Tribolium castaneum: one gene and its partner. The protein of the gene in region 1 purifies or fractionates together with the protein of each later gene. This does not show direct contact. Links are inferred from orthologs where the notes say so. Each region holds a gene or a part of one and is shown on either strand. Other genes may lie near its edges.

Evidence for each region. Proteins that work in one complex are often made in the same cells at the same time.
Region 2: the proteins of protein AATF (region 1) and neuroguidin purify together in Homo sapiens (affinity purification with mass spectrometry; 3 studies listed by BioGRID and IntAct, with this or other methods). This does not show direct contact. The link is inferred for Tribolium castaneum from reciprocal best matches to the Homo sapiens genes AATF and NGDN.

Annotation. Positions count from the first base shown.
Region 1 is NC_087396.1:16,779,539-16,783,084, reverse strand, and holds protein AATF, read left to right. Parts: upstream 1-1,487; coding exon 1,488-1,749; intron 1,750-1,803; coding exon 1,804-1,935; intron 1,936-1,991; coding exon 1,992-3,028; 3' UTR 3,029-3,046; downstream 3,047-3,546. Other genes in the region: uncharacterized protein Jasper, read left to right, coding at 1-221, 270-365, 416-429; U11/U12 small nuclear ribonucleoprotein 35 kDa protein, read right to left, coding at 524-1,102, 1,149-1,154. UniProt on the Homo sapiens protein: Part of the small subunit (SSU) processome, first precursor of the small eukaryotic ribosomal subunit.
Region 2 is NC_087398.1:5,108,969-5,113,109, reverse strand, and holds neuroguidin, read left to right. Parts: upstream 1-1,478; 5' UTR 1,479-1,617; coding exon 1,618-1,626; intron 1,627-1,898; coding exon 1,899-2,409; intron 2,410-2,461; coding exon 2,462-2,832; 3' UTR 2,833-3,638; downstream 3,639-4,141. Other genes in the region: uncharacterized protein LOC103313152, read right to left, coding at 3,639-3,821, 3,867-3,984, 4,031-4,141. UniProt on the Homo sapiens protein: Part of the small subunit (SSU) processome, first precursor of the small eukaryotic ribosomal subunit.

The DNA of each region.
Region 1 (3,546 bases):
AGAGTGGAATTTACCACCTGAGGAGCTTGAAACTTTCAACAACGACGCACAGAAAGTACGGACAAAGGCAGATGAGATTTATAAGAAATTCAAATCGGTTTGTAAATTACCGGCGGGGTCTGTTAACTTTTGGGACGGTTTCAATGACATTGTTAGGAAATTTAGGGAGGATTGCATCCATTTGAATAATAGGGAAGTTTTTGTTTTGTGTGCCGAGCCATGTAAGTTTGTTTTATTTAGAAATTTTCTTAGTTGTAATAAAATTACAGATTCGCGTCAAGCTATTATTGACCGACTTGAGCAGGAAGAAGAATTACAAGAGGCTGATATTCACCGTCCGGTTGATAGTGAAATTGAGAAAGTTGGTAAGGCATTAAGTGAATCATAGGATATTCAAATAACTCGCTTGTTCTAGCAGACGTTCAGTAGTGTTGCAAGTAATACATAAAGAAGAGTTTTTTAGTTTATTATTATTTTTTTTTTGTTAAAATATGTATGTTTAAACACTTTTCAATATAAAACATTATTTACGATCACGTCTACTTTCACTCCTGTCTCTCCTACTCCTTTCCCGCCTCTCTTTTATCTCCAAACTGATGGGTTTTTTGAAGGGTCGATCACGGCCACCGAACCGCAACTGTCCGGACTCCTTTTTCCCACCAAAGCCGCCTCCAAGTCGTCTCGGTCGCCACCCCTTTAATAACCTCTCACATTCAAAATCTACGAAAATTATGTTTCCATCAATATTCATTTTATTCGCTTTACAATACGCTTCCTCAGCGTCGAGCTCATTTTCGTATTCGATGAAAGCGTAGCCTTTGGGCATCCCTGTGACTATGTCTTTAACTAAACGAAATCGGCGCAAAGGGCCATATTTGGAAAAAATGTCCTTAATTGTGTCTTTTGTGGTTTTGAGACTAAGACGGCTGACGAAAATTGTGCACTCGGGACGGCCTTTAACGTGGCGGTTGGGGTGGTATTCGGAATTTAGGGCTCGGACGATGCCTTTGTCGTGGGGCTCCGTGTCGGTGCCGTCGATGGAACCAATTTTTATCGGGTCGTAATATTTGGCAAAACGGGACCATGAAGTGTCCGAAGAGTCCTAAATTATTTAAATAGAAATGAAATAAAGTTTGTTTATAACTTACGCTCATCGTCTTGTTTGAAAAAAATTAGGTTAAACAACTGTCACCTGTCAGAACCTTGCCATATGTGTCCGCATGAGTGTCTGGTCGAAATATTCAATTTTTTTTTAACAATAGTTTATTTTTACTTTGTACATGTACAAATTTCAAAATTGCAGCTAACGTAATGCCATCACTTGTTTGTGATAAGCTACGATTAGTTATTTTGTGTGTGGATCGCATAATTTTGGTTTCGAACTTAATAGCTTTCATGTGCCTTAGAAAAGAGTGTAGTGACGGAATCGTGACAGAATAATATAACCTCCAAATATAAAAACGTGTCTGGTTTTAATTTCTCCTAAAATGAAAAAGAAATCGACTGGAACTTTAGCTGATAAGATAGCAGGTATTTTGAATACCGCCCCTTCGAGTATTGACCCTGAAGATGAGGTTGATGACGCCACGGTTGCAAAAGTTGTGGAAGACGATGTTGAAGAAAACGAACAAGAAGATGAAATTTTGAGCAAATTTCGTCAAAAAAACATTGACCTGTTAGCTGATTTAGATGAGAAGTATGCCGGAAAAAAGACCAGTCGGAAGAATTTGAGGGATTCCGATTCAGAGGGTTTGTTACAAATGTTTGGTTTTAAAATTCTTGTGCTCAAAAGTTACTTTACAGACGCATCGCTGGGAAGTTTGGACGATAAGGAAGAAGAAGAAGAAGAAACTGAAACAAAAGGCAGTGCGAGCGAGAGCGAGGACGTGGAAGAAGAATCGTCTCAAGAAGACTCTGAAGGTCCAGAATCAAATGGTCTGCTTGGTTTCTTTTTTTTTGGCAGGACAAACGTTAAAATTTTATTTTTGCAGAAGATTTATCAGAAGATGATGGGGAGTTGTCGGAAAATGATAACACTGAAGAGAATTTCAAACACATTTCGGACACGAATGTTTCAAAACAAATTAAAAAAGGGCTTTGTGTGAGAAACCAAATGGCAATGTGGGAAAACCTCCTAGAAGTACGAATCCAACTCCAAAAATGTCTCTTGACTGCCAATAAAATGCCACAACCCGAGAAGTTTAAAGAAATCAAACAATCTGATCCCGATTTTTCCAATAAAGTTAATGAGACAAAAAACAAATTATGTGATGTCTTAGATAAACTACTATTGTTACAAAAATTGCTGTATAAACAGTATCCTGAAACAAAAAATTTGGATCAGACAAGCGCTCAAAGTGAAAAAGTTGAAGATCCTGATGATGAAGAAATTCCAAGTGATACAGATGTTGAAGAATCAGGCGGCGAAGAAGAAATTGTAAGCGATACTCCCAAGAAGAAACGAAAATTAGAATATTACGAAAGCGAAATTTTCGAAAAACACAAAAAATACAAAGATTACAGAAACAACATCATACAGAAATGGAACGACAAAACGCGCGTTGTGGTCAAAGGGGGCACCACTTCGCACTCAGTTCTAGACCAGATTGAATACAATTTGAGTAACAAAGATAAGCTTATCAAGAAAACGCAACTCAAGCGTTCCCAGTACTCCATCCTAGGTGAAGAAGAAACAGAAGATAGAAACAGTGAGGAGTACAATAGCGAGATTTTTGATGACGACGATTTCTACCATCAGCTTTTGCGCGAACTAATTGAAGTCAAGTCAGCCGACGTCAGCGATCCAGTGCAGTTAAGTCGCCAGTGGATTCAGTTACAGAATCTAAGGAGCAAAATGAAGCGAAAAATCGACACAAGAGCTACAAAGGGACGCAAAATACGATATGCTGTACACAGCAAACTGGTTAATTTTATGGCGCCCATTGATGGGAATTTATGGACAGATGACGCGAAAAATGAGTTGTATAGCTCGCTCTTTGGCAAAAATAAAACTGCATCTAATTTATAAAATAAATTGTTTTATAAATCCTTGTTTTTATTGAGTCATTACTCATTATCCCCCTTACATAAAGAGATTTTTTATAAAAAACACAACCTCCGACTCATTGTTTTGAAATAATTCTTATATTATAATGGGTGCAAGCTTGATAATAGCATTATACGCAGTCGTTGCACACTGCCTTTGTTCTTCGCTTTCGTAGTTCCACCTTTTACTTTAAAAATAATTGTTGGAATTTACCTTTTAAATTAACATAATTTTATAACTATAACATATGAGGTTTTTTTTTGTGTCTCATCCGTCATGTATTTCTTTTTCCTGCTCGTATTTGAAATTTTACATATGTCGCTCCCACTGAAGTTTGCAAATAGTTTGACTGATACAAAGCTCCTATAAAGGAAAAGTCACTTCCCTGATTCTGTTGATAAATTTTGAAAAAAAATCTAAAATTGGGGCAGTGTCCCGCACGTTAAAATGGAATGGCTAATAAGCTGCTTTTTCTTTTATTTCAAAAATTTATGAGACGA
Region 2 (4,141 bases), on another chromosome or scaffold:
GCATATGATGTAACAACAACACCAGAGACGGGAGAAAAGCTAAGTGAATTGTGTAATCTATCTGTTGAACTAGCGAAGACAAAGTTTAAGACTGAAATTTATGCTGTCGTTAGCGATAATGCAGCAAACATGTTGAAAATGGGAAAATTGACGAGTGATTTAATGCATACTACTTGCAATAGTCACACAGGAAATCTTCTTGCCAAAGACTTAATTTCCAAAGAATTATGTTCCAAAGTAATCACTATCTTAAAAGAATTTAAACATCCTAATCTCGAAAAGGAGCTGCAAAGTCAGGGAGGATCAAAGATAAAATTAGCTGTCGATACTCGGTGGTGTACCTATAGAGACTCATTTTCTTGCTTGATCAAAAATTTAAAATTTATGAAAAAACTTGCGGCAGAAGAAACTATAAAACTTAAACAAGAAATAATTCAGTTACTATTTGACGATGAGTTCATCGATGAAGTTAAAACAACAATTGAAGTATCTAACCCGGTTTGCAAATTAATTAATGAGTGTCAGTCTAGCAGCTGCACTATTGCCGATGCTTGTGAGAAATGGACTCATTTACAACTGCCTGCGGAGTTTGAAGATGTTTTGAAAAGAAGAAGAGACATGGCGCTAAATATTTACTCTTTAACATCAAATTTTCTTCATCCTCTTTATAGAGGAAGGTCTTTGAATCAAACCCAGGTTGATATGGTCCATGACTATTTGGTAGCTACTTTAAGTGCAGAAGGTTTAATGAGTTTTCACCAATTTTGTTCTTCGGAAGATATTTTTGAAACCTTAGAACGTAAAAACATTTGTTGCCCAAAAGTTTTTTGGGGATTGGCCGAGAGAAAGCACCCAGAGTTGGCTAGTGTAGCTTTAAAACTTATCAATATACCAGCCAGCTCAGCTTCCTTGGAGCGTGTGTTTAGTAATTGGGCATTTATTCACAATGATTTGAGAAATCGTTTGGATGCTGATCATTCGAGAAAAATAATGCATTGTTATTACTCCCTGAAGATGCGGGAAAGTAACGAAGTCAGTTAAAAAAGAAACATTGGTTGTGTTTTTTTCCTCGAGATTAATTCTTTTATTTTGTTTTTTGAGAATAGACTTTATTTTGTTTTTTTGAGAATAGACTTTATTTATTTTTTTTTTGAGAATAGATTTTATTTTTTGTTTATTACTAATCTGTTTTGCCAAATAAAGAAAATAATAGAAAATTGTCTTGTTTTACTGTTTACTGACTACAATTTCTGATGGTAAAAGAACTTACTTAATTAATAATGATATGTATTTAGTAATAGAACATTTTTGATTCATTTTTCTCTTCTTGAGAACAAATAAATGCTACCAAATTTTGACGTAAAAAATAGTGTAATTTTTCGGTAATTTATTTGGATTGATGACGTAGAAAATGTGCAAAAACTACGCGTCGTTATACTGTAGAACGACGTTTCAATATCTACGTCACAACCCTGGTCACAAGCCGTACCCCCACCCTTCCGATATCGTTGATCAAAAAAGCTCCCTTCAATATAAAAGTTGTGCACGTGCTGAGCTTATTTTTACAAAATTTACGCGTTGTTATGTATTTTTAAGTTACGAAATCGACGGATCAAAATGGTTCAGGTACGTATCGAGTGTTTTCCGTAACAAAAAGTGGTGAAAACGTGTCGAAAAGCGCGCTTTTTCGGCGTAAAAACTACCCTCGATTTTTTCTGTCAAGCTTTTGATATAAAAGATGGCGAACAGATTTTTATGCAAATGGAGCCCATTTTTCATCTCGATGAAAATTCATAATTCGCGAGAAAATTTTTCCGGCTTTCGGGACGGAAACGCGGGACTTTTCTAACCTAGAATTTAAACAAAATAAATGATTTTTGCATGGTTTTGGGTTTTAGGCACCGGATGTTAGTATCGGGCACCGGGATTTTCCCCAGGCGTTAGTTTTGCTAAATGAAATGAATGTGAGTGCACAACACGTCGCCTCGTTGGTTGATAACATGATTCAGAAGGTGCGGAAGGGAGAATTATCAACAGATCAGGGTCTTAGCTTTCTAGAAATGAAGTACAACATGTTGTTGAGTTATTTGATCAACTTGACTTTCGTGGTCTTGCGGAAATGTTCAGGGGAAAAAATTGAAGGGGACCCGTGTATTGATAGATTAATCGAAATCAGGACTGTACTTGAGAAAATCAGGCCCATTGATCACAAGCTCAAGTACCAGATTGATAAACTCGTCAAGACTGCCGTTACGGGAACCAACGCCAACGACCCGACCACGTTTAGGGCAAACCCTGACAATCTCATTGACCATTCGGAAAGTGAGGAAGAATTAGAAAAAAACACGGGAGAAAAGGGCAAAAGCGACATCTATGTACCTCCAAAACTATCCGCAGTTCACTATATGGGTAATTACTTGATTAAAAATCTTGATTCAGTTAATGATTTTGCGACAAATAGGTGACGAAACGGCACAAGAGCGCACTAAAAGGTTGCAAGAACGCACGAAGAAGCACATGTTGTCCTCTTCCATAATGCAAGACTTGCGGGAGGAGTATCTGGATGCGCCAATCGAGGTGTCTCAGACCAGCCGCGCTCAGCAAATCCTGTCCAAGCAGCAGAAGGAGAAGGAGGAGTACGAGGAGGAGTACATGACTCGCCTCCCCGTCAGCAAATCAGAGAAGCACAAACGCCGTCAGCTGACCACTCTGGGCAGTCTCGGTGACGAAATCACCGACTTTGGCCCCTCCCCCAGCTCCGCCGGCAAAAGGAAAAGGAAACGTCCGATCAAATCAAAAGGGAAGAGTTTCAAACGGAAACGATTCCATTGATTAGTTGGGTCGTCCCGACCGATCATTAAATCAAGAGCTTGAAACCCCAGTTGCCTATGGTGACCTTATGATTTTCAAACGTTTTCTCATTGTCAAATTCAAAATTGTCTAGATTAGGGTTAATGGTTGTGTTCTTTGTTTTTCGTGTACTAGGATTTTGGCATGCACTTTGGATGTTTTTCAAACTGAGTTCGTTATAGACGTCATAATATAGACTGAAAGTATTTTTACATGATGTTATCAAACTGTTGCGCTACATTCTCACGTTACAGACTGTAATGGAACAGTGAATTAATTTTTGTACTTGGACGTAGGTTCTCGTAAAATTGTCTCGGGTGGGACTGCGTTTTGAGTACGTTCCCGATTGCCTTGTACAGGTTATATTTATCGTTGTTAACGTTAACCACAGTTTATTTTTCAGACTGGATTATCGGTTGTTGAAATATTAAGACAATTGCAGTTTTCGGTTAGTTTTCACGTTGTTAAACATTTTTTTATTGTTGGCTTTTTATTTTGTTAGGTTTGCTACATTGCCACAGTTCAGGTGGGTTTTTTACGTCTCGTCTTGTGTTTTAGTTGTAGTGATATGTTATTAACTAGATATAAAAATGTATTCAGTAGCTCATGTCCTTTGGTGTACTCGTATTTCGTAGAATATTTAGGTATGCTACTGAAAGTGACAAAAATTCTCAGCTCAAAAATTTATTAATAATGTATCGTCATAGGTTATAAGTTTATGGCTTTAATCAGTTTCATTATACATTCTTTATTTGTAGACATGAATTTTTTTAATATATATTTTTTTCTTATTGAGAGTTTGTGTTTTCCCCAGTCATCGGATTGTAAGAAGCTGTGCGAAAACCCTTATATTTCTGCAATTCGCAAGTTTCTCGCCCAAAACTATCACCGTAGAATTTTTCACTGCTAAGATCGGGCGGTTCGTGGCGATATTTCTGATTCCGCATAAACGGAATTTTCGGAAAAGCCAGCTACAACTCGTAATCAAGACTAGTTTTTTCCCCCCATAAAATTACCCTTTGCATAACATACGGACGCGGCACTTGATAACTGTGCTGCATGGTGGTCAAATATTCATCAGCACATATCGTGCGACACTGACTTTCCGGATATTCCGTCAAACATTCGGCATTTCTGCAAAAAACCCGTAAAAAGTGCCCCAATATGAATTCATCAATACTCGTTGAAAGTGTAAAAACTCTTCATTCTTTTGGTCCGATAAATTCTGTCTTTGATGAAGACTTGTTGTAACATGTCCCCGGTCGTGGTCCTGAACGAGTTATCATCGTTT